4 linked regions of the Diceros bicornis minor genome follow. The main gene of each other region encodes a partner of the protein of the gene in region 2 in a complex. Links are inferred from orthologs where the notes say so. Each region holds a gene or a part of one and is shown on either strand. Other genes may lie near its edges. The genes, in order: VAMP7, BNIP1, BET1L and STX7.

Region 1 (7,304 bases), on a different chromosome or scaffold from region 2:
GATGCACAGAGCAGGATACATGATGACTCTGACTAGAATGAGCCACAAAGAGAAACAAACTGTGCCATACTCAAATGTTGGTGATTTTGTAGACATTGATAACATGGTAGCTCCCTCCGCTGATTGTGAATATCAAAGGAGAACAGGCATTCTTGAGGTAGGTCTGTTTTGAGCATAGAAGAACAGGAAGAAAAGTTGCCCAAGTCCAAATATCCAGGAAAAAAGAAGCATAAACAGCACTGTTGAGCAGTGATAAATTGCAATAATGTGAATGATTTTGATGCCAAAGCAACAGTCACTAGATTTGTTTGTGAACCACAAAATAACACATCAGGTTCCAATCCTGATAAGCAGAATGTAAAACCAGGGTCTCCCAGACATGACTAGAGCTCTGTGTGATATATGTATCTTATTTTAGCCCAATAGACATTTCTGGAGCATCTAGTACATAAGAGCTGGTTTGTAATCTGGGCTCCATCTCTTCTTAGCTTTGTAATCTTTGTCAAGACCAGAAGATTTCTCATGTGTACAATTAGGAGACTGGATTAGGTTATCAAAATCATCAGTTCTATAATTCCAGGCTTGGTAGCTGCAGGAACTGAAATGGAAATTGAAACCTTTACTCCATAAACTCAAACTATCTAAAATCATGGATTATAAAGAAAGAGATTCTATTCTTCAGTAACTTGATGAAATGGTAACAGAACTTCTGAATTTGAAAATTATAAAATTATAAAGCCACCTATTTAAATGGTTCTGCATGTACTTTAGTGTACACATCCAGAAGTATTTTTCTTAGAAACTACCCAACATATTTTGAAAACTGTACATATTAATTTATTACCAGGATATACAGTGTATTGGCATGCTAACTAAAGCCAGATAACTTTTTAAAAACCCATACATCAGATGATATCAATCCTCTGCTTGAACCTCTCTAATCATGTCCCATTATACCTAAAATAAAATCCAAACTCCCTCTCCTGGCTTACACAGCCTTGCAAGACCCTCTGGCCACAAGACGATAAGAGGGAACAGAACTCCAAGCAGAGAGAGCTAGAGCAAAGATCATAAAGTGGGAAGGAGCTTGGGGTATCTGAGGAGTAGAAAGAAGGCCCGCGTGATCTCCTCTCCTACCACTCTCCCCTCACTTCCACTACCCTCTAGTCACTCTGGCTTTATTTATGTTCTCTTATCTTCTTGTGGCTGCTTCCTTCTTGACATTCAGATTTCAGCTTAAATATTTCCTCAGAGAGACCTTCCTTGATTTCCCAATATAAAGGCTTGTGCTCGAGATACAAATTTTGGAGCACAGATGAGATTACTTTAGGAGAAAATATCGAGTAAGAAGAGGAGCTTTGATAGAGCCTTAAACTCTCTAAATTGAGGCAACATTTAGGGTTCACACAGCTATTAACTCAGGACTGTCGGGCTCCAAAACTCCATTCACTTTCTAAGATACTATGCTGTCTCTCAAAGGATAGGTATTGAATAAAATGAAATTTAATATTAATATGAAAAGTAAACCTTTGCAGATGGTGGATAAAGCTGAAAAAAGAAGCATATACTTTTCTGGAAAATGAAGAGGTGATATTTGAGATCGGTTCTGAAGAATAAATAAGATATAGAAAGGAGAGGCAGCATGTGCAAAGGCACTGAGGCATGATAGAGCATGGTATTGAAGTATTAACTCCATATAGGCAGGGACATTTTCTGTCTTCTTCACTGCTATATCGCCAGCATCCAGAGCAGGCCTGGCTCATAGTAGGAACTTAGTACATATTTGTTGAAGGAATGGATGAATGGATAAATGAGTGAATTCCACCACAGAAGAGCAGGCTTGAACACAGGATGTGTTGGTGAGAGAAGCAGAATATGAAGCAGGAGAGGTAGAGAGTGGTCAGATCATGGCGGGCCATGAATTTTGTGTTGAGATCTTAGGCTTTACCCTGCATATAATGGGGAACCAATAAGGGTTTTAAGTAGGATTTTGAAGTGATCAGGTTTTGTTCTAAATAGAGCAATCTCAAGCGATGAGGAGTTGGGGGCAGGGGTGGGATGGTGAAGGAGATACTATAGGTACAAAGACATTACTTCTGATTTTTAGTGCCCGGATCATTTTAGTCAGGATTCTCTGAATATACTTCAGTTTGTCTATAGCCCCCTAAGAACTGATAACAATAAATAAAGTATGGTATATCCTGCACATATTAGAGTAGAACCATGTGTATAGTGCCTTATGACCAGTACTATATTTTTGTCATGCTTGGAAAAATACTGAGGAGTGGAGTGGGGGTAACTTGCACAAAATATCTCACCATTTCTGATTTTTCCTTTTCTTTCTTGCTAAATATAAACTAAATAAAAGTAAATGCTATCATTATGTAAGATCTAATGAAGGATAACTAATTACAAATACAATGCTTGTTCAAGAAATACTTATTGTCCTTGAGTGCTTACTCTCTGCCTGGCACTATTGTTCATTAATCATTGCAACAATCCTTGAAGACAGGTACTATTATTATCCTTATTTTAAAAATGAGAAAACTGAAGCTTGACAAGTGAGATATTTAGGAGATAGAATTAATATGGCTTGCTGATTGTTTGGAAGTGAGCTTTGAGGGAGGGAAAGCATTAAAAATGATACCCAGCATTCTGCTGTGGGCAACTGATTGCATGGTTGTTCCATTCAGTGAGATGGGATTAGAGGAGAAAGAGGAGCCGGTTATGGGAGAGGGGAGAGTAGAAATGTATTAAGTCAACTGAGGACTACTGCTAAGATTTAGGTACTTGAAAGAGCTGCCCAGCTGTCATTAGATATTTCAGTCTGGGTTACAGGAGTCTTGTTGGGGCTTCCTATATGTGGGAATCATCAGCATACTGATGACAACCAAAGCAATGGGAATGGTTAAGATCACCCAAGAAAAGTGTGAAGAGTAAGAAAAGAAGAGAGTGTAGGGCAGAGCCCTATGGAACATGAACATTTCAAATGAAAATGAGGAGTTGCCACAGAAGTGGGCAGGAAGCCAGGAGAGTACAGCATCTTAGAAAGAGCTAAGAGAATAGAGGGTGCTATGAAGTGAATGTTTGTGTTCCCCCTCCCTCAAATGTATATGTTGGAGCCCTGATATTCAATGTGATGGTATTTGGAGGTGGGGCCTTTGGGAAGTAATTAGGTCATGAGGGTGGAGCCCCCATAAATGAGATTAGTGCCTTTATAAGAGATGTGAGAGAGATGATGTCTCTTTGCCATGTGAGGATACAGGAAGCAGGTCCTCACCAGAACCGAACTATACTGGGACCCTGGTCTGAAACTTCCCAGCATCCAGAACTGTGAGAAATAAATTCCTGTTGTTTAAGGCATCCAGTCTGTGGTATTTTGTTAAAACAGCCCAAACTGACTAAGACAGAGGGTTTCAAGAAGCAGGAAATAATGAACGTACAATCCTGCAGAGTTGAAGTATGGTAATGGTTGAAAAGTATCTATTTGTTTTAGCAACACTGTTGAGAATTTTGCCTGGAAAGGAGAGGTGGGATAAAGACCCCAAGGTTAAGTCTGTGTGTGGTGAGGGTTTTGAGGGGTGTGAGGTTGACAAAGGTAAGTTTGGAATGTTTTAGATAAGAGAAACTTTGACAGTCTTTAAATGCTGATAAAGAGCGAGTAAGCAGGGAGCCGTTGAGTCCTGAGACAGAAGGGTTCATCAGTGGAGCTAGCTTTTGAGTTGGCAAGAAGGAATAGGGATGTAAAGGGGACGGGGGAGCTTAGATCAAAAGAGAGTGGTTTTTATTATTATTATTATTATTATTATTATTGCAAAAGAATGGGAGAAACGATCGCTGAGGGGTGCAAGGTTAGAAAATTTCGTAGCGAAAGTAGAGGGAGTGCCTGTCAGATGAATTCTATTTCGTCTGTGAAGTAACGGGCCACGTTACCTGCTGAGACTAAACGGGGAGATGACGAGGAAAGCTAGGCTTTACATTTATCCCGCTGACTCAATGCTGGTGGACTCTCTGTGGCTCTGCATCCTCTCGTTTTCCCGGAGGAACAGCACTTGATGTTGTTTACGACAAAAGTTGTTGACCCAGCGGGTGACAGATTCGACAATACGCCAGTCGGAACTACCACTCCCGGAATGCAGTGCGGCTCCGGGGAAGTGCGGGGGCTGGGAACACGGTAGGCCCCGCCCCGCCACACGCTCCCATTGGAGGAGCGCTCCCATTCCCAGGAGGCCGCGCGTGGGCGGGGGGCTTTACACGGAAGCCGGTGGCGTCCGGTCCCAGCCTCCTCTGGGAGCGGACACTCGCTGAACTCGTGCTGACCCGCGCTCCTGTGTTCTGAGCCCGGGCGCTCTCAGAGGGTGCCCCGACAGGTAAATGGAGCGGGGCGCACTCGGCGGAAGGCGGGGAGACGACGCCGGAGGGAGGGTGGAGGTGTCGACGGGAAGGTGCTGGGGTGGAGCGAGGAGGCAGGGCAAGGGTGACTTGGGCTTCTCTGATGTCGACAGTTCGAGTTGTCGGTCAGGTCTAGTTTTGGCGAAGTGCGTTATGCCGCTGAGAAGGCCTCTAGTTAAATAGTGTCAGAATGCGTCACTTAAGTTGTTGTTACAGGAGGGGAAAAATGTTAACTTTCCCTCTGTTCGCATTCTGCAAGACCTTTCTGTAGCATTTGAATCTCTTGAGATCTCCTGAGTCTTCTGAAAACTCCTCCCTACGCCTTTGTTTCGATGACGTCACTGTCTTCTTCACCTCCTACTTCTGAGCTCCTTGGTGGGTTTCTAGCCCTCTGCGTGCCCTTCTTCCACCGCCCGGTGTTAACGTTCATCTTCTTCCTCAGGTCGGATAGGAACTCTGTATCTCCGCCCAGTGCTATTTCCTCAGCGTCAGACATGTATGTTGTTGTTATTGTTATCAGCCAATATTTAACAAACTCTGTGTACTAGACTCATTGGTAAATACTTTATATCTCCCTCTCCCGTAACCCCCACAAACAATCAGTTATCAAGTCCTTTTCTTTCTGTCTTATTAATTGCTCTCAACTGCCTGTACCTCCATTGTCTCACCCTTGATCCCAGAGGATACTGTCATGTTTGGGACATTCTTTCCCTTTGAATAGCAGTGGCTGAAAGCAGACTCACTCATATGTTTAACAAATATTTACTGAACAGCTAATATGTGCTAGACACTCTTCTAAGTGCAAGAGATATAGCTGGAAACGACATAGGAGATCGCTACTCTTGGTAGCTTACAAGTTTGTATGTGGGTGTGGGCAAACAGGAATAATCAAGATGATGTTATATGGTGGTGGTGGTTACTGCAAAACAGAACAGGTGATTGACTGTTGGCAGGGTTGGCTCCTATCCTGAGAAAGTCAAGGAGATTGAATTGGGTTTCAGAGCCTTATATCAATGTTTGTTCTTCATTCTTCTGTCTCTTCCAAGATTATTACACCAGAATTGGTGGTTTATCAGTCCTTGGCTTATTTCTTCCTAAGACCCAGGCAGAAGAGTTGGGGATTGGATTACTCTCAGCTCAACTTCTTTATCTTACTTAGGGAGATAGTTTAGTAATCAAAATACTCTTCTTGCCAGGTCCTACTAAATATAAAATTATGTGTCATTTATAGTATATTTAAAACCAAAACATGCTCAGTGTCTGTTCATTTGTTCAACAAATATTTGAGGGACTATTATATGCCAGGCACTGTACTGGGCATTGGGAACCTAGTGAGGATAAAATAGACGCTTTGACACCATTTCCAAGAGAAATAATTGTAACAGCATACTAAGGAAATTCCTAATACATAGGCTGACACCTGCATTCTTTTTTTCTTCATCCAAGGTGAGATAATCACAAAACTTTAAGAAATCTCCTGAATAATTGTGTACATTCGTAGATTATTCACTCATTACACTTTATTGCATTTATTTGTTTATGTCTGTATTCCCCATTGTACTATGGCTCCCTTGAGTATAGAGGTCCTTTCTTACTGATCTTCATACCTCCAGTGTCTACTACATAGACTGCCAGATGGTAAACCCTCAGAACATATGTGTTGAAGTGAAATAGGAAAACTATTTGATCCAATCCAAATGAATTTATACAAGGCCTTCTTTATATAAGGCCATTAGGCTTATCCCTAAACTTTCTCATTCAACAAATGTGAATCATTCCATCTCATCAGGCTAGTTTGTTTACCTTCCCTAGCTTGTTCTAACTTCTATGCCTTCTCTTGTTCCATAGCTCCATCTTAAAATGAGTTCTCATCTCTTTTCTGAGCACCTGCCATGCCCCCCCGTTTAATTTAATGGGCCAGTTTAATAGTATGCCCCATGATACAGGGGTGGAAAAGATTTAATTTCCATTGTGTTATTTCCTATTAAACATTCTGCTAAGGAACTGTTGCAAGGATTAACGTAATATATCTCCTTTAAATAATATAAATAATGATTCAGAATGCTTTCTTTTAATTTTGCATTGACTATTACCATGTACTACGTGACGAGTTAATTCTTCCACTTCTTTTTTCTGTTTGAACAGTTTCACAACCTTTATTCACACAGCACGTTATGGTATTATTTGGTTTCCACTTGATACAAACACATCTTTGAGTATTATTTTCTCCTTAGCCTGAGATAATTTACGTGTTAATGTTATTCTGCTACGTTGTCATTTTCAGAATGTCAGATAAAAGTCTCAATTCTTAAAGTTTTTTTCCATGCAGATTTCTTTCAGTTGTAAATTGTTACTGCAAAAGATAAATTCTCTCTTTATAACAGATTAAAAAACACAATAGGAATACAAGACTTGAGTCATGATTGTCATTATGATTTTAGGATGTGCCAACCTAAGAGCATCCAGACATGCTTCCAAGACATTAAAAATTAAGCACTATCATTTTAGGGCATTTCTTGGCACCTGTGCCTTCATAATGCAAATGTAGCACTAAATTGTGGATCATTGCTCATTTATAAGGTATACATGTAGATGATCCAGAATATTCATATACATGTTTTAATGTTATCAGAATTAAAATACAGAATTAAAAATTTCTCAAAGCACATGGACTTGAGTGTGAGAAACACTGACTTGATCTTTTTCCCTACTCAGTTCCGTGAAACTGTCTTCAACCTCCACTTGAAAATGCCTCCACTGAGGAGGAGCGTTTGCATCATTGCTGTGCTATTTTGTTAGCAATTTCTTTTAATACAGGGAATCCCTTACTTACAAATGGCTATATTCCAAAACTTCCTTTGTAAGATTATTGTTTGAAACTCTGGATGCATTTTCCTCTATAAATAATACTA
Region 2 (7,515 bases):
AGTTTTCAAGTTGAAAAATTCCAGGGACAATGGTGTCCCTGCCATCCACTTAAGACAGCTGGCAGTGTTAACTTGCTGTTAACTTGTTAACACAGCTGGCTCTGCATGTAAAAGTTCCTCATTTTGACCTGGATAGCAGGTTAGTACAGTCACCCTGGCTGTCTAAGCGTTCACTGAAGAACCTGGACAGCACGCAGGCAGAGGTGAGTGCCAGGACCCAGCCCCGTTCACTGCTGCCCATTCTCAGCATCCCAGTTTTGCAGCCACTCACCTGTATTCTGTGCCGCAACTGCTGAAACTTCTCTTTCACTTGAGTATTCAGTTCAGTGAGTGCGCTTAATGGTCCTGAACAGTCTCGAATATCCTAGGAGACATTGAAGAGATGAGAGGGTCTTTCTTAAGGCAACGAAATGAAATGACACCATCTGTACAGTGAGAGAGTTGGTGTAGACCACACCTAAGGTTGGCCTACTGACTGTAATTCATCCTAATCTTTGCTCTTTACCTCTGCAACACAAGCAAAAACATTATCATTTTCATTTTTCTCATCCTTCTTTAGATTAATTTTGAGCAGGTAATATAAAAGCATAAAAAGAAAAACAACTCTATATACAAGAGAATACTACTCAGCCATAAAAAAGGAATATTTGCCATTTGCAACAACATGGATGGACCCTTAAGGTATTATGCTAAGTGAAATAAGTCAGATGAGAAAGACAAATACCATATGATTTCACTCATATGTGGAATCTAAAAAATAAAACAGGGCCGGCCCCGTGGCTTAGTGGTTAAGAGTGCACGCTCTGCTGCTGGCGGCCTGGGTTCGGATCCCGGGCACGCACCAACGCGCCACTTCTCCCGCCATGCTGAGGCCGAGTCCCACATATAGCAACTAGAAGGATGTGCAACTATGACATACAACTATCTACTGGTGCTTTGGGGGAAAAAATAAATAAATAAATAAAATTTAAAAAAATTAAAAAAAATAAAACAAACACACAAAACAAAAACAAACTCATAGATACAGAGAACAGACTGGTGGTACCAGAGGGGAAGGGGGTTGGGGGACAGGCGCAATGGGGGGACAGGATCAACTGTATAGTGATGGATGGTAACTAGACTTACGGTGGTGATCACTTTGTAGTGTATACAAATATCAAATTATAATGTTGTATACTTGAAACTTTTATAATGTTATATACCAATTTTACCTCAAAAAAAGAAAAAAAGAAGGGAAGAAACACAATTCTGTCTTGACTTACGAGTTCCTAAAGTTTAACAAAACACCACCTGGCCAGTATGAAAGGCTTAAAGCAGCTTGTGTGTCCAACAAGAATGGACACCCAAAAGTGATCCTACAACTTTAGATTTTTCCAACTGGAAAACCAGGATGCTAAATTCCTGGCCTAATATGACAAGACTAACATCTTATCTGATCTTTCAAACCACATATTATAAATCACAGTGTTTACAGACATGTTCAATTTAGAATATGATTTAGAATTTGTTTCTGGACATTCAGAATTACTAGGGCCAGGATTTAGAGCAGGCTCTGGAGCTAAACTATGTGGATTCAAATCCTGGCTGAAGCAACTTATTAGCTGTGAAACCTTGAAAAAGTCATTTGAGTTCTCTGAGCCTGAGTTTCCTCATCACAACATTACCTAGCTCACAGACCACGGATGTATGTGAAGTGCTTAGCAGAGGAGCTGGAACAAAGTAAGAGTACAATAAATCTAGCTATGATCAATCTTTCTCATTAGCAATCACGAGAGCCCAAATGTTAGAGAGTACAAAAGGGGATTTAAGCAATTTAGATTATGTGAAAAAGTGATTTCATTTGTATAAATCCTAAATTTATTTTACTAGAATTGGCCCAGAAGTTTTGTAGTTTATACATGGGAGACATGAAGTTCAAGAAGTTAAAATGTTTGCATCAAGTGTCCTCACTTGTTCTCTGGCTCACTCGTAAATCACACTTCCTTGCACCCTACGATGAACCACTTATTTGGTTTATTTTGCGTCTGGTTTCCCTGAGGAGTCCTACTTTCTTTCGCTTTTTGTCGAAGCTAGTTGCAAACTCTGAGTCTACATCCAATGCTTAGTAACATTTGTTGGAAATGGAAACGCTTTCCCTTAAACCAAGCTTTAAGACTCTTGGTTTCTTTTTGCTAAACTCAAGGAACCATTTCTCCATTCCTACCTCTTGCCTGTGTCAACTGGTTTATTGCACTACTGCCTTCCACCCTTAAATGGCCTAAGGCAACGCACCTCAATTACCCTATTAAACCGAGGAGTAGAGGCTCTCTAAGTCCCTTCTCTAGGCTGACTTTCACTATCTGCCTTCTGACCTAGGCCTTGGCAGTCTACGTGATTTCCTCATTTCAAAATCCCCACTACGGTCCAGGTTACGTTCATTTCCCCGGTGCTTCCAGCGCCAAGTAGCCTTGGGTGCCACGAAGCACGGGACCAGCGGAGCTGGCCAGCAGGGGGCGGGGCTCATGGTCCCAGGAGGCTACCAGATGATGGAGAGGGCGGTGTCAGAAAACAGGGCCAAGCAGGGTGACAGGTATGTTGTGAGGCGCTCGGGGGCGAGGCGACGATCAGGGGTATGTGTGGGAGGGACCAAACGGGGCCACAGGGGAAGCCTGGTCAGGGGCGGGGGACCCGGGGGTGTCCCGGAAGAGGGCGAGCCGACAGCACTGGATGGAGGATCAAGGCCAACGGTCAAGGGGACGGGACTCAAGCGTAACAACAAGGGGATAGCCGGCCATGGCGTGGGGCCAGCGACCTCGGAGACTTGACCAAGCGGGGAGAGCTAGGGAGTGAGACCACCGAGCTCACAGAAGGCCAGCGGAGCTTGGACTTAGGGACGCTGGGGCCCGGCAGCGGTCTCGGGAATTAGTACCTGGATAAGCGCCTTCACCTCCAGGTCGAATTTGACAATTTCTTGGTTGCAGATCCGGACGTGGACATCTTGGGGAGCCGCCATGTTGGGGACGCCAGCTACGGGCAGCGACAGTGCCCAAGTGCAAACGCGTTCTCGCGCCCCGGCCTTCCCTCCCCGCCCGGTCTCACGGCAGCGCCCCCTAGAGCCCGGTCTGGGGCGTGCGAGGGTGCCGCGCTCGGTGCTGGGGACTTTCCCTGACACGTCGGGGACTCAGCCTCTCCTCTTGGCGTGATCCTAGTAAAACGCAGAGGAAGGGAAGAGGGAATCGAAGAGCGTTTTAACAGCGTTTAACGTTCCCCATCTTCCGCCTATCAGCCATTCTAATGACTACATATTTTTTACATGGGCGGGGGAAAGGCTGGAAGAAAAGTATCAATTGGGATATTTCTGGAAGGTGGAATTAACAATTTTTTGTATTTCTTGAAACTTCCTTGTGTTTTCATATCTTCTACAGTGACTATGAATTGTGGAGTAAAAGAAAAAATGGTAAACGTTGTTATTATTACTTTTTTTAGTGTCTGGAATTCAAGGCAGGCCACTAGTCCAACACATGGTCCGAGGGATCTTTCTAAAACGCGTAACTAATCAAGTCACCTCCCAGCTTGGACCCCTTCTATGGCTCCTGGCGGTTCCCTTTTGTGTACAACTGGATTTATTAAGTCTACATCACCCGAGTAGTTTTGGTGGATTAATGTAGTTTTGATGGAAATAATTAAGAGCAGACCCTCAACAAATGGAGGCTCTTTCATTTTACTTTTATTATTAAATAGTCCCAAGTTTCTTAGCTGGTCCTCAAGGCCATCAGCCACCTCACCCAGCCCCACCTCCTCCCGAGATCCTTCAAGCTCTTTTTGGATATGTAGCCTTGGAATGTGCTGTTCCCTGTTCTTGAATGCTTTTCCCCACTTGCCCCCAGCCCCATTCACTTTTGTTCACTTCAGTTCAGCAAGCATAGATTGTGACACCCTGAGGGCCTAGCTGTGTTTCTTTTAATCCGCACAACCACGCTTGAAATAGGTGATACTCCAGTTTTACAGACTGGGAGATGGACTAAGAGTAGATCAAAACAAAGCAAAACCGGACATCCCTGCCCCACGGTACCCAACTTGAAAGTGGCAGTGCCTTGCCTGAAAGCCACATCTTCCCTTAAGAACCAAATATGGCCTTTGGGTAGTGTACAAGGGGGGCTGTGTGCTCGCCTATCTGTGTTCCTCCAGCACGCCGCACACCCTCCCTGAAGGTGTTCATCACCCCACTGCACCTAATAGAGAGGCGGTGTATTGCAGGCTTGGGCGTCTGCCTTGGCTTGAATCCTGCTCCACAACCCACTTCACATCTCTGTGCCTCAGTCTCCTCAGAGGCTGACTGGGGGTAATCACTGGCTTGGTGGGAGGGTGAAATGAGGTAATACATGAAAAGCACCAAGCACAGTGTAGTAATGTGGCATGTGGTAAGAGCTCTGTGTGCATTAGCTGCCATTATTATATTACTAACTGACATTTTTGGAGCACTTCCTATGTGCCAGGCACTTTATACTAAATGCTTTATGTGTATCATCTAATTCTCACAACAACTCTATGAGGTAGAATTAACCACATTTTACACGAGGAAACAGGCACAGAGAGAACAATGAGTTGCCCAATGCAAATGGAATTGCTAGGTCAAAGGATATGTGCATTTTAAATTTCTGATATATGTTACCAAATTGCTCTTCGTAGAGGTTATATCAGTTTACACTCCCACCAGCAATGTGGTATAAATGCCTACTTCCCCAGGGCCTCACCAACACAGTGTGTTAAACGCTGGGATTTTTGCCAGTCTGATTAAGTGAAAAATGCCATCTCTTAATTTGCATTTCTCTTATCATGAACAAGCTTGAGAGGTATTTGTATTTACTCTATTGTCTGCTCATTTCTCTATTGGGTTGTTGGTCTTTTTCACATCAGTTTCTAGGAGCTCTTTATATATTAGGAGGATTAGCCCTTGGAGATGAGCTTTTTCCCTAGTCTATAAAATTTTGACTTAGCGCATTTAATTTTTGGGAGGAGTTCTATAATTATGTTTATTTCCAATGTTTGTTATCACCAGATCTGTGTTTCCTATTATTTTTATAAGAAGATTATTTAGCTCTCTTTGTATTATTGGTTTTTCTTATGGCATATGGTAGCCAAAGTTGTATGAGAGTTAAAGGAAAATTCCTAAGAAACTGTATAAGCCTTTAGATTGCTTCTTACTTGGGACAATACATTTTTCTAGTTCTTACCAAGAATAACAACTTCCACTTTTCTTTTAAACTGCACTTTTTTTTTTTTTTTTTTTTTGGTGAGGAAGATCAGCCCTGAGCTAATATCCACGCTAATCCTCCTCTTTTTGCTGAGGAAGACCGGCTCTGAGCTAACATCTATTGCCAATCCTCCTCCTTTTTTCTTCCCCAAAGCCCCAGTAGATAGTTGCATGTCATAGCTGCACATCCTTCTAGTTGCTGCATGTGGGACGCAGCCTCAGCATGGCCAGAGAAGCGGTGCGTCGGTGCGCGCCCGGGATCCGAACCCCGGCCGCCAGTAGCGGAGCGCACGCACTTAACCGCTAAGCCACGGGGCCGGCCCTAAACTGCACTTTTGACCTTATTTTTTTTTTATGGTATATAAACAATAATTTATAAACATGATGTAAAAACCCATCGTGTTTTCTTAGACTTTTGATATTATTTGATATGGTACAAACTTTATTAAATCAAGATTCAAGACCTAAAAAAAAAAAAAAATTTTTTTTGACTTAGCTTATGGTGTTTTTTGGCCTTAAAGAAGTTTTAAGTTTTTTATTTTTGTTTAACATAGAATTTATCAATCTTCATTTATGACTCCTGGATTTGGGATCCAAGTTAGAAAGGCCTTCCTCACACTGTAGGGGTTTAAAGGAATTGCCCACATTTCCTTCTAGTGTTTTTACGGTTTTTTTTTTTTTTTTAAACATTTAGATCTTTACCCATTTTGAAATATATGTTGGCTTATGGGGTGAGGTATAGAGCTAACTTTACTCTTTCCAGAGTGTTACCCAGTTGTTCCAACACTATTTCCTGAAGAATCCATCTTTTTCTCACTGATTCTGGATGCCTCATTTACCATACTGAACTCTTATGTTTGAATTTATTTCTAGACTTTCCATTCTGTTCTATTGGCCTGTCTATTCACTCATGCACCAAAATGACACTTTTAATTATTATAGTTTTATGTGTTTTAATAGGTTAACATGAACACTGCTTTTCTTTTTTTATTCCCCAGCATCTTGCAGCTATTATTTTTTTCCCCAGGTGAACTTTTTTTTTTAACCCCCTGGTATGTTTTAAGATGGCATTAAATTTTTTAACTTAGGAGGACTGACAACTTTATGTCATTGACTGCTCCTGTTCAAAAACTTGGTCTGTCTTTCCATTTGTTCAAGTCTTCTTCTGTGTCCTTCATAATATTTTAAAGTTTTCTTTATCTAGGCCTTGTACATTTTCTGTTAAGTTCATTCCTGGTGATGTTTTAAGACTAAAACCTTTTAAAGAAACCAAGTTTGACGTTTTTCAGGTCACTCAACTGTTTTGGATCCTCAAATAGAAGCTCCCTATTTAGGACAGGAAGAAGCCCAAAGTCTGCAGGCAGCAGATCTGCCCACATGACCTTGGGCCCCTTTCACATCAGGCTTCTTGCTGGAAACTCCTACGCAATCAACAGTCCCCAATTGCCTCTCAATGCAGCAATTAAAGAAAAGATAGCTCCCTTTTTCTCCACCCTTCAACACACTCTCTTCTAACAGAGCCCCAATTCTAAGCCCTTAAGCTAGAGGCCATCTTTGAGTGATAGACATGCAATTTGGTGACCCACATCCCCAATTACTGACTACTGCCAACGCTGTTTTGCTCCCATCATCTTTATCCACTGATCCTGAGATCAGCTTTTGGTTACTACATCTGCTAGGTTTTGGCTTTAGTTCTGATTTTCAGATTCTAAACCCATTATTTTCCTCCTATATTGACATCCAACCAAATCGCCTGTGACTTGGCCTGGTCCCTTAGAGATGAGTAAGAATCGTCTCTGAGTGCGGCAAGCAGACTGGAATTTAAATTAGAGTTGTCTATCACATAAGCTGGGTCTGGGGTGAGTGGCCTCATCTGAGTCTCATCTGACTCTTCTGTAAAGTGGACATGACTGCTTACCTCACTGCGCCACTGAGAGCAGCAGCTGAGTTCCCTGATGGGAGAGCACCTAGCAGGGGCTTAATGAATGCCACCCTAGCCTTCTAGACTTTCTAATGCCCTCTTCCTATTCTGAACCTTTCAGCTGGGATATTAAAGTATTTCCCAACTAATGTCTTTCTTTCTGGCCAACTAGCTCTCCTGGTTCTGAAATCACTGTTGGTGAGGAGGGACAACTGAATGACCCACCTAACTGGGTGCTACCCACAGAAGGTTTAGTTTCCTAAGGACTATACTGCCCTGGCTCACCCAGCTCCTTAAAGTTCCCAGACCATGACAGAGGCCCCTATGAGGAGTGGTCTTGAGAGGTCAGGTCCTGAAGCAG
Region 3 (7,512 bases), on a different chromosome or scaffold from region 2:
GAGGCGAGTGATCCAGCTGGGCCTGTGCTTCAGTTGGTGTGAGCACGGGGCTGGCCAAGTGGGCAGTGAGGGCCCTGGGAGAGGGGGGCAGGGAGGGCCATCTGCAGACGCTGGGGAGGAGGGTGTGGCTCAGACCTCCCTCACAGCAAGGAGAGACTTGCTGTGGGAGGAAGGGCTGGGCCTGGTGGAGGAAAAACTGCCTGGTGATCCTCAAGAAGTGACTTACAGGTCCTATGAAGAAAGTCCTTACAGGAAAGCCTCCTGTCTGGGCCCACAAAAGGTCCCCCTCACTCCCATACCCTGACTGACTCTGAAATACCAAATGGGCCTGTTTCTAGACATCTAGTCTCCAAAAACACATATTTGGCGCTGGGGAGATTCCGCATCCTGACAAAATATGAATTTCTGCTCCTGGAATACATGACCACAAAATCCAGAAGGATCCGGGCCCAGTGCCTCCAGCCAAGGCTGCAGCCCACTCCTCATCCACAACCCCCTGCACTTCCCCAAGGGTCTGGCTTCAGCCATGGGACTAGAGAGCAGGCACAGAGGCCTCACTGGTCCACCCATGCTCAGGACCCCTGGCCAGGAATAACCACCATCTCTAGGCTGAGACTGTCGGTTGGAACAGACAGTGCTGCCTGGAGCTTCACAGAAACACCCCTTCTCTATCAGCTCCAGGCACCTCAGACACCAGACGTGGCCTTACCTAGACAAGGATGGGGCAGAGGTGCCTGGAGACATCAGAGCCCCTAGGGCTGGGGGAAGGACTGACCACAGGTAGCCACGTCCAGGATTCCTAGCTCCTTTGCTCAGACCTGGCTCTGTTGGCACCTCTAGCACCTGGAGTGGCAGAGGGTGCTGGGCCTTGGTTTCCCCAAAGGAAAGGGTCCCATGTCTGCATGGGACCAGCAACATGGGACAGCCAACATGATCTCACTGGGCCAGAAGCAGCCATGGGCTCCCAGCCACACAGGAAGAAGATTCCTAAGCCACGATCATCGTTCCAAAGGAGTATTTTGTAGGAAGGTCCTCTGGAGCCCAGGACACCAGGTAGAGGAAGATGCTGGTTGCCCTGTGCACCCACAGACGCCAGCTCCCACTGGTTCACGTCCTTGCCCTCGACAGAAGGTAGGAGAGGATGAAGAAGACCACGATGAGTCCCAAGGCCATACCGCACAGAAGCTTCCGGTTGTCTCGCCCAGATCGCGCCATTGTGGAAAAGCGCTTCACACTCCCCGTGAGCAGGCCCGTCATGCTTGTAAAATCCGAGTCCTGAGGGAGGAATCCCAACACGATCACACAGGGGTGGACCCTCCAAGACCCACAGGAGAGTGCTGCAGGAGACACTGGGGACCTATATAGCAGGCAGTGTGGGGCAGAGCTGACCGAAACACTCACGCACGCTGCAGACCCTTACCATGCCATCCAGGTACCGGTTCTGGTCCTCTGCATCCCTATCGATGTCCAGGGCAAGCTGATCAGGACACAGAGGGGGCAGGGTCAGGCCAGGGAAGACACTGGATGGTGCTTGACCCTCCATGAGACCAGCAGACCCAACCAACGATTCTGCCAGACACAGTACCACCAGCAGAGATCAGGAGGTCCAGGTATCACCTAGGCCTCACACAAGAGAGTGCTGCCACGGATGGGACAAGGAAGATGAGAACTACATGAAACCCTTCCAAGCCTCTACCCTCCCTCTGATCCCTGCTCCAAGGTGCCAGGTGGAGGTGAAACAGGAGGACCACCACTGACCGATTTGAGCCTGGTGACCTTGGAGGCCAGGCTGTCGGCCATTCGCTTGTTCTCCCGGTCTAGAATCTCCTCCACAGCGCCAGGGCTCTGAGCTGCAAGGAGAAAGAGAGGCTGAGGGGTGCATCCACCCATGAGCACTGCCCTTGACCCCTGGATGTCAGCCCTTCGTGGCCTCAGGACTCTCTCACTACAATCCCATATACCTGAGTCGGAATCTGGCGGGACTAGGCCCACCTGTGTCTGATGAACAAGTCCAGCCCTAACCCAGGATCCGGTGTAAGGACTTCACACACACGTGAGACAGGCTGTGTCAACAACAGCGTGTGCGGGCACCCATCACGTGACCACATGTCCTGTGTACACATCCAGGCCAGGGTGGACAGGCATCCCCAACATGTACAGCCTCAAAGGATCAGCCCAACCGGCACTTTCTGATACTCTGTGACAGAACCTGCACCATCCCTCCACAGACATTACTATCAGCGTACAAGAGACCTGTTCCCAGAGAAAAACAGTAAACTCTGGTATGGACCAAGGAAAGACTGGTGGGGGGGCAGCAGGAAGACCCCTGCAGGGACGACCTGTGAACTCGGTCCTCAAGAGATGACAGGTAACCAGGGAGGAGACAACTCAGCACAGCTCCCCAACACCCAAAAACGGGGGCGCTGAGGTCGATCCCGAGGGCAGGGCCTGGGCCTGCTCACCTCTGCACCCCACCCAGGGCCTTATATGACACCGAGCACAGTGCTTGCTAAGACCGGTCCCATGACTAGGGAGCGGCCAGGCGGTTCGGCATTACTGTCACATCAGGTGGGTGAGAACCGCGTCCCCCCAGTTCCGAGTGCAAACTTGCCCCGGGCCAGATGCCTCCACGTGACCCATCTAATGGGGGTGCAGCTCTAGGAACCACAGATGGATACAGACGCCAAAGGAAGGAGTGTTGGCGTTCTACCAACCCCCTCACGTTCATTAACTTCTCAACGGTCACAAGAGCCCGGCGAGACAGGCATCAGCATCCCACATCGCAGACGAGAACACGGGCTCCCAGAGGGCGAAGGGGCTGCCCTCCCACCACGCAGCCTCCCTCCTAGGGGCTGGCCTCCGCGACCGTGAGGCCGGCCGGGGTGCCAGCAGAACCATCTGACAGGGACAGAGGGGTACGAACTCCGGGCAGCCGGGCCCCGCGACGCAGGGACCCCACGACCCGCCCACAGCGCAGCCGCCAGCGCCCGCAGGGCCTCCCCGCCGAGACCACCCAGCGGGCTGGGCCGCGCGGACGCAGCTCTTGCGGGCAGCGGCGTCGATTACGGCCGGCCCCGACGCCATCCGGCTCTGCTCTCCCGCGCTCACCGCGAGCCCAGTCCGCCATCGTGCCGGCTCCGGGCCCCGGCTCCGTCGCCTACCCGGCCCCTGCCGCGGCGGACGTGGCGCAGCCGCGGGAACGAGCTTCCGGCGTCGCCGCTTCCGCCTTGGCCCCGCCTACTTCCGGCGGAGGTCACCGCCCCCTCCGCCGCGCGCCCGCCGACTTCCGGCGGAGGCTCCGGCCGCGGGGCGCAGGGCGCCCGGGTGGGGACGGAAGTGGCCTGATGTTGGTTCCTCCGCCTGACTAGGACCGCCTAGGGTTAGCGTTTTTAACGCCAGCTCCGGTGTCCAGACGCCTCTATCAGCCACGCCTCCGGGACGGCGTCAGGCCCGAAGTGGGAGGAGCTCGCGGGCCCTCTCCCGGGCGACGGGCGGGGCTGGGCGCGCCGAGGGACCGGCCCCGAGGTCCCCCGGCCCGCCGGGCTGCGGCGCGGTGACTGCTGGCGGACCAGGTGGTGCTCGGGGCCCGGGACGCCCCCGACGAGGACGGGGAGCCGGACAGTGGGTGGGGCTGCTGCTTGTGCGCTGGCGCCGACCCAGGGCCCGGCCGAGTGGACGCTCGACCGGCGCCTGTTGCAGGGCAAGTCGCCCGCCACTGCGGGGGCATCCGCTGTATTACTGAGTTCTCCCGACAACCCACTGGAAGGGCGACTTTGGTCTTCTCTGCTCTTCGAGAAAGAGGCCTGAGTCCAGGCCGATCGTGTGTCTGGGTTGCGCAGCGAGGAGCCGCCGCGCACTGTGGAGCTCTGCTCTCCTCCTGACCCTGACCGTAAGCCTTCCTCAGCCCCAACGAGGTCCGTTTCTCTCCCACCTGGCCGTTCCCCCGTGCCTTGAATGCCCGTCCCCAGATCTTCCTGGCTCCCCTCTCGTCCGGCACCTCAGACCTCTCTGCAGCCCAGCAGCCTCTCCTCTTCCAGTCACGGCACCGCCTGCCTAAAATCGTCCTTGTTTGTCCTCGCCTTGGGAACATAAGGTCCGCGAAGGCAGGGTCCGCGGGTCCTGTTCGCCCGCATCACGGCGCCTCGCGTGTAGTAGGCGCCCAAACGCCCGTTTAACAAACCAAGTGGTGCGGGGGCTGGCAGCCCTTCCCACCGTGGCTGTACCCGCGACATCCTGTCCGTCCTGTTCATCAAGAGGGGCGGGGGGTGGGGCTGAGGTCGTCTCCGCCAGGAATTCCTGCCCGAGAATTCCCGAGGGTCACTCTTCGGTTCGGGGGCGTCTCGGGACCTGAGGTCGGACGATCACCGAGTCGGATCTTGAAGCCCGGGCGGCAAAGCCTTCACGCTCTAGGAGGCTGTTCCAAGTCTCGCCACCTTAAAGCGCGCCACCTTAAGGCGCGCGCTGCCCCGTCCCGGCCTCCCCCGCGCGCGGAGCCAGGGCGGGGCTGGCGGACTCAGGCCCGGGGCTGCGGAGCCACGTCCCGCCTTCCGGGCGCCAAGTACTGGAGACGCCATGGAGCCCCGGGCGGTGGCCGATGCCGTGCAAACGGGGGAAGAGAACGTGGTTATGGAGGCTCTGCTCGCGTACAACCAGGAGGTGAGCGGGAGTCGTGGGGCGCGCAAGGAGGCGGTGGGCCGGGTGGGCGCGGCCGGCGGAGGGGTGGGTGACTGCGGCGGGGCCCGAGGGTGGAAGGGAGCGGCAGGAAGGGGCGCCGAGCCTACGAGGAGTCGCTGGTTGGAGTCACGTGCGCACCTGGGGGCAGGTGTGCGGGGCGCCATCTGTTCGGAGCGGCGCCTGCAGCCTCGGGCCTCATCTCGGAGGCCGGGATCTGCCCGTGCGGACCTGCGCTCCATGAGCCCCTGGGTTTCCCTGCAGAACTCCCAGAGCTTCACATTCGATGACGCCCAGCAGGAGGACAGGAAGGTGGGTGCTGACCGAGGGGTAAGGGGCAGAGACGGGGGCCCCGGGTCGGGGAGCCTGGTGGAGCCGCTCTACTCCCCGCCCACAGAGACTGGCGGAGCTGTTGGCCTCGGTCCTGGAGCAGGGCTTGCCACCGTCCCGCCGCGTCACCTGGCTGCAGAGCATCCGCATCCTGTCCAGGGACCGCAGCTGCCTGGACCCATTTACCAGCCGCCAGAGCTTGCAGGCATTTGCCTGCTATGCTGGGATCTCCGCCTCCGGGGGCTCGGTCCCCGAGCCCCTGGACATGGACGTTGTCCTCGAGTCCCTCAAGTGCCTGTGCAACCTCGTGCTCAGCAGCCCGGTGGCACAGGTGCTGGCAGCAGAGGCTCGCCTGGTGGTGAGACTCGCAGAGCGCGTAGGGCTGTACCGCAAGAGCAGCTTTCCTCACGACGTCCAGTTCTTTGATTTGCGCCTTCTTTTCTTGCTAACTGCGCTTCGCACCGACGTGCGCCTGCAGCTGTTTCAGGAGCTGCGGGGAGTGCACCTGCTGACAGATGCGCTGGAGCTGACCCTGGGAATGAGCCCGGAAGAGAGCCCCCCTGCGCTCCTTCCTCCCCAGGAGACTGAGCGGGCCATGGAAATTCTCAAAGTGCTCTTCAACATCACTTTCGACTCCATAAAGAGAGAGGTGGACCAGGTAAGAAGAGAGCTGATCTGAACCCGTGGGTGGGGCTTAACAGCTTGAATGTTTCCTGGATCTGCTTCCCTGTTGGGTGCCTTCAAGTTTCAGGGTGTTAGGCTCAGAGAAGACTGGAGGAGGCGAGGAGACGCCTGGGTAGGGGCCCCAAGGAAGGTTTCTGAGGGAGGTGGAGAGCACATTTGGCTTTTGGAGCCTGGCAGGAGAGCTGTGTGATACATGGGGACAGTGTAGGAGATTCCCAATCACGAGGCTGTGAGCATGGGGTCAGAACACAGAGTGTGACTCAATCCCAAGGACATCTGTTGACGTTCTTAATCAGGAGAGTGCTTTTCAGGTTGTGTAGGAGAGGCGGAGGGGCCGGGTGTGCAGTGGGGGAGATGTGTAATCGGTGCACTTGGTCCTGGAGTGGGGCAGACGGTGGAATCTCAGCTGGCAGCAGGGGGACAAGTGGGGCTCTCTCTCACAGGAACCTCTTACTCTTTGGTCAGGAAGATGCTGCCCTTTACCAGCACCTGGGAACCCTTTTGCGGCACTGTGTGATGATCACTGCTGCTGGAGACCGTACAGAGGAGTTCCACGGGTGAGGGTGGGGCCTGTTGTGTTGGGAGGGAAGTGTGCTCACGTGTCTAGATGGTGGTTGCCAGCCATGGTTGTGGACAAGGCTCCACCCTAGCGAGTCTTTACCCATCTGGGTGGGACTAGACATCAGTGGGTTTCCAGAGAGCTCTGGCACTTAGAGTACATGGCTAGGACGAGAGCCACGAGTCTGGGAACAGGAGTGTGCCCCAGGACCTTAGGCAGGGGCAGTGGATGGTGTAGTATCTACAGGGCAGTGTAGGTTCCTCATTCCTGTTCTCGGTGACCTGTCCCTGGAGGCAGGTTTTGGTTTTCCAGAGGTGGTCTGTGGTGCTTCAACCCAGACAGAGGGTCATAGGTGAGGTGTTTGCATAAGAGTGCCCCCCTCCTCGGGGACCCACTCCACTGAGCAGGAGTGCCCCCTGAGAGCAGTCCTCTCCTCAGCTCGGGCCCCTTGTGCTGCTCCTTAGGCCCCTGGACACTGGTTCACGTCACATGCAGCCCCAGCAGGAGGTACCAAGGGTTGTGCCTGTGCTGGGGGATTGGATTCACCAAGCCCCTCTCCCCGTCTGTCCTCAGCCACACGGTGAACCTCCTGGGGAACTTGCCCCTCAAGTGTCTGGACGTCCTCCTCACCCTGGAGCCACACGAAGGCTCCCTGGAATTCCTGGGAGTGAACATGGATGTGATTCGTGTCCTCCTTAGCTTCCTGGAGAAGCGTCTGCATCAGGTAGGCAGAGGGGACTTGCTGTGTGGGCTCCCCAATGGCTCTGGCTTTGGCCTTCCTGAGCAGCTGTGGTCACTGCTTTTGTGCCGTCCACGTTAGTGAGTGAAGATTAGCTCGCCAGTATGATTCAGGTGATCCTCCAGCTGCTCTGTGGTCCAGCCAGGCAGGAAGCCAGACCCGTCCTCCCTGAGAAGCATGTGGACACTCCTACACACACACTTGAAGGTTTCGCTTCTGGTTACTACAAGGAAACAAGTTTTCAGAGTCTGCTTTTTAGATTTCTTTATGGATCTCTCTGGCATGGTGTTGAGAAGCCCCCAGTCCCTGCCTGTGATCTTAGACTCTTAGTGTTTCTGTGCACGGGCAGCCCTTGGTGACGAGCATTGGTTGTCCCTAGACGTCCCTGAGGGGACCCACAGGGACCTCGAGCCAGAGGCTTCCTGATTCCTGCGACTGCACCATAGGATATTGGCCGTCCAGGGCTCTGAAGAGCCCCTGTGGGAGCTTGCAGACATCATGCAGGCTAAAGAGTGCAATGGACTGAGAC
Region 4 (7,999 bases), on a different chromosome or scaffold from region 2:
TACAAATTGACTTAAAAGTTTATCTTTGCATAGAGACTTAAGCAACCAAGTTATTTTGGCGCCTGCTTCCCACATCAGTCTCCAGCACCCAGGCCAGAGCTAATACACACCACAGTTCTCTTGCTGAGTACTTCCGAAAGCCCATTCAGAATCCCTTGTTTTACTGCTCAGAATAACAATAACTCATTATCTATACCTGCACTATCAAGTGTTCAAATATCACATGTGTGGCCAGTGGCTTGGCCAGCTCACGTATAGAACATTCCCATCATAGCAGAAAGTTCTATTAAACAGTGCTCATCTAGACATCTCAATAATTACCTTTCTATGAAGATATATAAACACTATGAAGAGAAAGAAGCAAAAAGAGAATCAAAGTGCAATACTGTCCTCTGTTGGTATCCTTGGGAGATTGGTTCCAGAAAGCCCACAGATACCAAAATCTGGGGATGCTCAAGTCCCTTATACAAAATGGTGTAGTATTTGCACATCCTCCCATATACTTTAAATCATCTCTAAATTACCTATAATACCTAACACAATGTAAATGCTATGTAAATAGTTGTTATGCTATATTGTTTAGGGAATAATGACAAGAAAAAGAAGTCTGTATACGTTCACACAAACGCATCCATGTAGGCCTTTCGATTCGTGGTTGGTTGAACTTGCAAATACGGAACACTCGGATACAGAGGATCGACTGTATTCACGAGCGTCCTCTCAAGACTTTCTAAAGAGCACAAATGAAAGAACAAAGGGAATTTTAACATGGAATCATGACTGTCAAACACCACCCCCAGTTACTACTGGACACATGCAGAATCCTTAAGATTCTCATGAATCTTCCCATGAAGATTTCCCTGAAGAAATCTCACTCTCTTAGGGCAATAGAAACAGTTTCACTTTCTTAATGGTGAGCACCAGCGTAAAGCAACAGACTTCCATCCACCCCGTGCCCCAAAATGTGAAGTTCCCAGAGGGGTAGGGTTTTTTTTTTTTTTTTGAGGAAGATCAGCCCTGAGCTAACATCTGTTGCCAATCCTCTTCCTTTTTTTTTCTCCCCAAAGCCCCAGTACATAGTTGCATATCCTAGTTGTATGTCCTTCTAGTTCTTCTATACGGTACGCTGCCTCAGCGTGGCTTGATGAGCACTGAGTAGGTCCGTACCCAGGATCCGAACCGGTGAACCAGGGGCTACAGAAGCAGAGCACGTGAACTTAACTGCTCCACCACCAGGCTAGCCCCTAAATATGACCATTTCTAAGACACTGAATTCCAGGGCCTTCTTTCAGATCCTGATGTCCCAGGACGATTGCTGCCTGGGGACCTTGCTGGGTGCTATTTCCTATCCCTAGAAGGCTCTTCCCACGATCCCAGTGACTGGCTCTTTTCCCCAGCAAGCTCTCATCACATGCTAGAAAAGCCTCCGTGACCACTGCCATGTGAAGTGAGAGATCACCACCCCGCCACTCTCTGTTGATCTCTCTAACTTACTGCACCATAGCACTGATCACCATTTAAAACGATCTAGTTAGTATACAGTTTATTATCTACCCCACCTCTGGAATACAGACACGAGAGAGACAACCCTGTCATCTTGTGGAATCCACAGTGCAGGGTGCACAGATGTTCCGTGAATGTGATGGCGATCCCTCTCCGGACACCAGCATTCTCTATAACTACACTAACCGCATTCTTGAGCTCAGCTCCTCCATCCGTTAACCTATTTACTACTTGGGTTTAGGTCACAACACTAAGGATTATTTTTCACCCTTTCACACACTAATCTTTCAAATTAAATGGAATCAGAGGCAAACTTTACTCAGACTTACTGCAGGTGTTTCATAGAATTTATTTTTCACCCACAGCACTTGGCTAAAGTTTGGGATCATAACCAAAATTAGGACTGACTGTGTTATGGGGAGCAGAAGTAAAATATCTGAGGAAAAATGACACAGATGTTGAGTTAATACGGTATTATATTATCTTCTTTGAAACTAAACCGTAATTCTTAACTGGTCACAAGTCAGACGCACTTCTCAAAGTGGCCTGCAAAGCAGAGGCTTGTCCACATCACAAGACACAGTTTACCACATCAGTTATCGCTCAGGCCACCCCCAGAAGACACGCCCACCTCCAACATTACTGAACCGCAGAGCATTTCAGAAGCATTTTCTTTTCTTCCAGATTCTGTGCCAGGTTTAAATTATATATATTTATAGTCAGAATACGTTGATCTGAATTAAACAAAAATTACTGCATGTATATAAGAGCCAAGCAAATCTAAGACACTCGAGAGAGAAAAATACAGCAATTGACCAGAAAGGCAATGTTTTTTTTTTTTCTTTTTGTTTGAATTTAAAGAAACTAACAACCTAAAAAACAAGGGGGGAGGGGGCAGCTGGAAATATTTTATATATCTGTCAAGGTCTTTATGTAAACCAATTAATGACAGGAGCTGAGAGGATCAAAGCAAGTCAGCGTGTCCCAGTCATCACGCCAAATAGGAAAACGGCGACAACGAGGCTCGGAACGAGCGCACAGGGCGCCCTCGCCGCCGCATTTTCAGTTCGCCTCCAGCGGGAGAACTTTTCTCCCGGGCGAGCGAGAAAGAGGAAGAGGTCAGCCCGCGGCGCAGGCTGGACTCCCGAGCCGCCCGGGCGGGCTGGGCGCCGCCCCACCCGGCGCGGGCGCGGCCGCGGGGCCCGGGGCGCGGGGAGGCGGGGGCCGGCCGGGCCCGGGGGCACGCCGCGCCGGCCCGGGCCGAGGGGAGCGGGCGCCCCGGGGCCGGGCAGCGCCCGCCGCACCGCGCAGGGCGGCGGCCCCTGACCACGCGCGCCCACCAGGAGGCGCGGCAGCCCCGGGCCGGCGCGCCCCCGGGGCGCAGGGACCCCCGCCCCCGCCCGCTTACCCCGACCTCCTTGGCTGCCTCCTCCGCCTCCGGCCGCTGGACCCCGGACCCACAGTCCGCAGCCACAGCTCTCAGCTGATGGGCGGTGGCGTCCAGACGCCCACTGCGCATGCCCGCGATACGCCTGGGAAGGAGGCGGCTCCTCCCCTCCCATTGGCCCGCGGAGCGGAGTGACAGCCCTGTCCCGCCCCCTCTGATTCTAAGCTGAGGGATGGGGGGACCAGCAAAATTGCAGAGCAGGTGTTCTTCGAGGCCTGACGTGCCGAGGGGGAACGCCTCACCCTGCGTGCAAAAACAAGAGGAGGGAATGCAGGGGAGCTGTCTTCTTTATAGGGTGATGCCAGCCTCCCTAGCCTCGCGTCTTCGGCCCGCCCCGTCAGCTCATGCCTGCTTTGTTGGCTAACCCTCAACTGCGGTAGACTGTATTCACAGCGCCATAGAGAGTGCGCACGCAAATAGGCAACCCCAGCAGGAACAATGAAGGAAAAGGGAAATCATGACCGTGTGCTCACTTGGTAGACAGGTGTTCGTAGCACATACAAGTCATCCTTGAAGGGCAGGGCGCAGTTTTCACAGTGTTTGAAGAGAGCAGAGAATGTTCTCGTAATAAATGCAGTATTCAAACAGAATGTAAGTGTTAGATAAACAGCATCAAATGCTTCAGGTGAAAGAAATACCTCAGCAAATTGGTTAGAAGATAGATTGGCTTGGCTTTTGCCTGTATTAAGGCAACACTATTTTCTGAAAGGATCATCAGGACGTCAAAACTCCAGATGCACTTAACGGGAAAAAAAAAAAAAAAAGAACATTTTGAGTTGAGCAAATTCTAGGTTGTTTGGAATTATACATGCATATATACATAAGTAAGGTCAGCCTGGGATAAGAAATACAAGGGTCTCGCAGTTTGTTTTTCATTTTTCTACTTTTAACAGAGAAGTGGGAAAAAAATATTTCTTTCTCCTCTTGACTGAAGAAAACTACACTGCAAGTGTGATAATGAGCAGAGACTTACACTCTGCCTCGGTGGGGAGGGGGCGATGGACGGAGGTGGGCACACTGGCCAAGCGGAAGGCACACACCCCATCTTCAGGGACAGCAGGATTCAGCTAAAGCTGATTGCAGACTTTTAGGAATACTGGCCCGATACGCAGTAGTCAAGTTTTCCGCCTTGTCAAAATACAGTGGAAATTCAGATTTTTATGTGAAATCTCTCCTTTCTTCAATATTCTTAAATTTGTATAATATATTCTGTGATCAGACAAAATATGTGTTTCAACCTCTATAAAAGGGAATAGTGTCAACCACAGAGTATGAAAGCTGGGGAGGCCCTTACAGAAAATCCAGGTACACTCCCTCACTTCACAGATTAGAGAAACTAAAACCCAAGGAAACTCCATCAAAATCACACAGATAAGTATAAGCAGCACAGGTCCAGATGACCTAGTTCGGAATCTTGAGTTCTTCCTACCATATCACTCATTCAGCAACTACTCACTGAGAACCTGTCATCTGTCAGGTACTGTGCCAGGCACTGCAGGTATGAAGATGGGTAGGGTATAGTGTTTTCTCTCAAGGAGTGAGATCCCTCCCAGGACACTGTAAAAGGAGCTATGATAAAGATTTGTACATAGCACAGTGAGAGTCCAGAGACGAGGATGCCTTACTGTGGGGTCAGGCACCACTCCAAAAGGAAAGTGTTAACAGAAGCTTGAAAGATGTGTAAGAGTTCACTGAGAAGACAAGGTGGGAAAGGACATTTCAGGCAAAAAAAGAAGCACATAAAAATTTATAAAATCATAGGCAAATGCAAACTCTTAGGGATCTCTATATGTTTATTTAGATAAACTGTAGTCAGTGGATTGGAGGGATACGAGACTGGAAAGGCAAATAGAGTTTATATAGTGAATGTATGTATGACATACACCTATCTACTGGGGCTTTGGGGGAGAAAAAAGGAGGAGGATTGGCAATAGATGTTAGCTCAGAGCCAGTCTTCCTCAGCAAAAAGAGGAGGATTGGCATGGATGTTAGCTCAGGGCTGATCTTCCTCACAAAAAATAAAATAAATAAATAAATAAATAAATAAATAAATAAATAAATTAGATATGGAGAATGAAAGAGATGACTCCTACTCTTAGGACACGCAAAACTGAGCTGAGCATGATATAGCTTACTGAGATCCAAGACTACTAACAAAGTAATTGTGGTTTGAGGAAGGAGCTGGTGAAATGAGGGAGTGAAGTGACAATAAGTTGAGCTTTGGGTGTGTTGTGTTTAAGTTTCTGGGGAAGGGACATCCAGTTTGAGATGTCCAGTGTCCTACAGGTACTTGAAGGTGTGAGCTGGTGTTCAGGATAGAGCTCTGGTTGGCACCGTGGGAACAGATGAGCTCACTAACTCTAAGGAAGGAATGTTATGGACTTTCTGTGTTTAAGGGAGGGTAGAGAAAGAGAAACCCTGAAAAGGAGTAATCAGAGACATAGGAAGTAAACTAGGAAAAGGTGAACTAGAGAATGAAGAGGGAATGTTCCATGATAGCACGTGTCACAGAAAGTTCAAGTAAATTAAGAACTGAAAGTTGTGTATTGGACTTGAGAAGTAAGAAGTGGTTGGTGAACTTAGGAAGAGGCATTTCAATCAATCAAGGAACTATCATGCAAAGAACTTACATCTACATAAGGTCTGGTACACTTTCCAAACATGCTTTCAAGTTACCTTTGCTAGAACCCTGGGCTGTGGGAGGGGAAGGCATGGTGCCCTGTAGAAGAAGACCCTGAGGCTACGTGGCCTCTCAGGTTACCCTGCTGGTTACTGCCTGAACTGGAACCACAGCTCAGAGCCTCCTCCTGGGCTCCTTCCAATTTCTCATGTCTTAAAACATGTTATGAGTGGATTCCTCCAGGTCTTTTGAAAATCTGAGAATAAGACTTCATCCCTTTGTAATCAAATGGAAAAAAATATAGTTTAGGTAAGCCTGCAAAATTTAGAGGCATAGAAGATAAATAAATTCCCAGAGAGTTCCTAACATTTATAGTATCCCTTCTTTGCATCTGCCTGCTACTTCGTGAAATTCAGCCAGGGGCCTTGAACCCAGGCAGGGCTCAAAAATTCTGCTCATTTAACAAGTAATCATTTCACTTCTCCCCGAACAAATCCTTTACACTCGCAGGAGTGACCTGTGTCTGAAGGCTTGTAATTTGGCTTTTCAGACCCAGTAATTTTGGGAATTTGGGTCTTCTTGAAAAGATTTTGAAGTGCAATCAGAAGTCAGTCAAGTGGTAATTATTAATAAATAAATAATAAAATTAATTAATGATTACTTATTTGTACAATGTAAAGTAGTTTCAGAATTGCTAACTCATATTCCTATGAGAGAAAAAAGCAAAAAACCTTGAGTACAGTGTTGATGGAAAATTCTTTTTGTTTTTAGCCTTACATTATTGAGTCGAGACAATGTTTTCCAAAATTAACCAGATCAGTTCTTTTCCCTACCCCATTCAGTGAAGTTATGTTTTATGTTTGTATTGCATTTAGATTTGTTTGTCATGTGTCTGCATTTCATCTGGGGTTCCTCAAACGTACTAGTTGATTTTTTTTTTAATTTGCATAAAGTTCACACTTTGTGGCACATAGTGCTATGGATTTTTGACAAATGCATGCAGTCATATATCCATCACCCCAATACCTTTGTGGGAGATCAAGATTTGGCCACCCTGAAATATATCTCTTTACCTTGATTGTTTTCTCTGAGGGACATTTGACCTCTCCCACTAACTGCCTAAAGAATTTGAGTTGGTGGCTCCTTCCTGGAACAGATCTTCTATCATCATGGCTGTAATGATAATGTAAAATAGATGTTACAATGGGAGGGGCACCAAGCCCCTTTTATCAAAAAACTCTCTCTCTCCCTGACCACATTATCTATAGATGAACCTGAAAAGAAGAATTGTCTTCTTGCCCTCTGAAGTCCCAGACCACTACCCACCCCCAACACCTTCCTCGCCTTTAGCTACAATACTTAAGCAAGCAGCTTAGACAGAGGGACGAGTTGCTCATTTCTGAGTTTCTCCCATGTATACATGTTATTAAACTTGGTATTATTTTCTCCTGCTAACCTGTCTTGCTAATTATTTGGCCAACCATAAGAACCTTACGGGAAAGGGCAGAGGGGGATTCTCCCTCTTCTCCCACACCTTACAGGACAGTTTCATCATCCTAAAGATTCTCTTTTGCAGTAACTTTTAGCTAACCACCTCTCCTTCCCCAACTCCTGACAACCATTCATGTTTTCTGTCTCTATATAGTTTTGCCTTTTCCAGAATGTCATACAAAGTGGATTATACAATATGTAGCCTTTTAGGTCTGACTTCGTTCACTTAGCAAAACTTAAGATATTTAAGATACTTCCACATTGTTGCATGAATCAATACTTTGTGGCTATTTTTTTATGGCTGAGTAGTGTTCCATTGTTTGGATGTACAATTTATTTATCCATTCACCTATTAGTTGTTTCCAATTTTTGGCAACTATGAATAAAGCTTCTATAAATATTTACATAGAGATTTAGATAAAAAATATAATTTTTCACTTCACTTGGGTAAAGATCTAGATGGGGGATTATTGGGTTGTATAAGTACATGTTTAATTTTATAAGCAAGTGCCAAATTGTTTTCGAAAGTGGCTGTATCATTTTGCATTCCCATCAGCAATGAATGAGGATTTCTGTTGCTCTAAATCCTCATCACCATTTAATATTGTTAGATTTTATTTTTTAATTTTGGTCCATTCTAATAGGTACATAGTGACATCTCATTGTGGTTTTAATTTCATTTCCATAATAATGTTGATCATTTTTTATATGCTTATTTAAAATCCATATATCTTCTTTAGCGAAGTGTCTGTTCAGATCTATTGCTCATTTTTTATTGAGTTGTCTTCCTATTGTTGAGTTTTAACAGTTCTTTATATATTCTGGTGCTTTTCAAATATGCCATTTGTAAATATTTTCTCCTATTTTGTAGCTTGTCTCTTCATTTTCCTTACAGTGTCTTCCGTAGAGCAAAAATTTTTAATTTTGAAAAAGTCCAA

The links.
Region 1: BNIP1 (region 2) and VAMP7 share a complex: the UniProt entries of both Homo sapiens proteins name them as parts of the SNARE complex. The link is inferred for Diceros bicornis minor from reciprocal best matches to the Homo sapiens genes BNIP1 and VAMP7.
Region 3: BNIP1 (region 2) and BET1L share a complex: the UniProt entries of both Homo sapiens proteins name them as parts of the SNARE complex. The link is inferred for Diceros bicornis minor from reciprocal best matches to the Homo sapiens genes BNIP1 and BET1L.
Region 4: BNIP1 (region 2) and STX7 share a complex: the UniProt entries of both Homo sapiens proteins name them as parts of the SNARE complex. The link is inferred for Diceros bicornis minor from reciprocal best matches to the Homo sapiens genes BNIP1 and STX7.

Annotation. Positions count from the first base shown.
Region 1 is NC_080781.1:139,858,680-139,865,983, forward strand, and holds the start of VAMP7 (vesicle-associated membrane protein 7), read left to right. Parts: upstream 1-4,266; 5' UTR 4,267-4,370; intron 4,371-4,834; exon of another isoform or gene 4,835-4,888; intron 4,889-7,304. UniProt on the Homo sapiens protein: Involved in the targeting and/or fusion of transport vesicles to their target membrane during transport of proteins from the early endosome to the lysosome. Required for heterotypic fusion of late endosomes with lysosomes and homotypic lysosomal fusion.
Region 2 is NC_080740.1:86,935,861-86,943,375, reverse strand, and holds the start of BNIP1 (vesicle transport protein SEC20), read right to left. Parts: upstream 3,017-7,515; 5' UTR 2,993-3,016; coding exon 2,909-2,992; intron 365-2,908; coding exon 272-364; intron 1-271. UniProt on the Homo sapiens protein: As part of a SNARE complex may be involved in endoplasmic reticulum membranes fusion and be required for the maintenance of endoplasmic reticulum organization. Also plays a role in apoptosis.
Region 3 is NC_080770.1:18,018-25,529, forward strand, and holds the start of BET1L (BET1-like protein), read right to left. Parts: upstream 3,090-7,512; 5' UTR 1,891-3,089; coding exon 1,759-1,890; intron 1,478-1,758; coding exon 1,421-1,477; intron 1,276-1,420; coding exon 1,108-1,275; 3' UTR 1-1,107. Other genes in the region: RIC8A (synembryn-A), read left to right, coding at 4,573-4,656, 4,936-4,983, 5,069-5,659, 6,151-6,242, 6,818-6,968. UniProt on the Homo sapiens protein: Vesicle SNARE required for targeting and fusion of retrograde transport vesicles with the Golgi complex. Required for the integrity of the Golgi complex.
Region 4 is NC_080762.1:5,448,416-5,456,414, reverse strand, and holds the start of STX7 (syntaxin-7), read right to left. Parts: upstream 3,002-7,999; 5' UTR 2,912-3,001; intron 1-2,911. UniProt on the Homo sapiens protein: May be involved in protein trafficking from the plasma membrane to the early endosome (EE) as well as in homotypic fusion of endocytic organelles. Mediates the endocytic trafficking from early endosomes to late endosomes and lysosomes.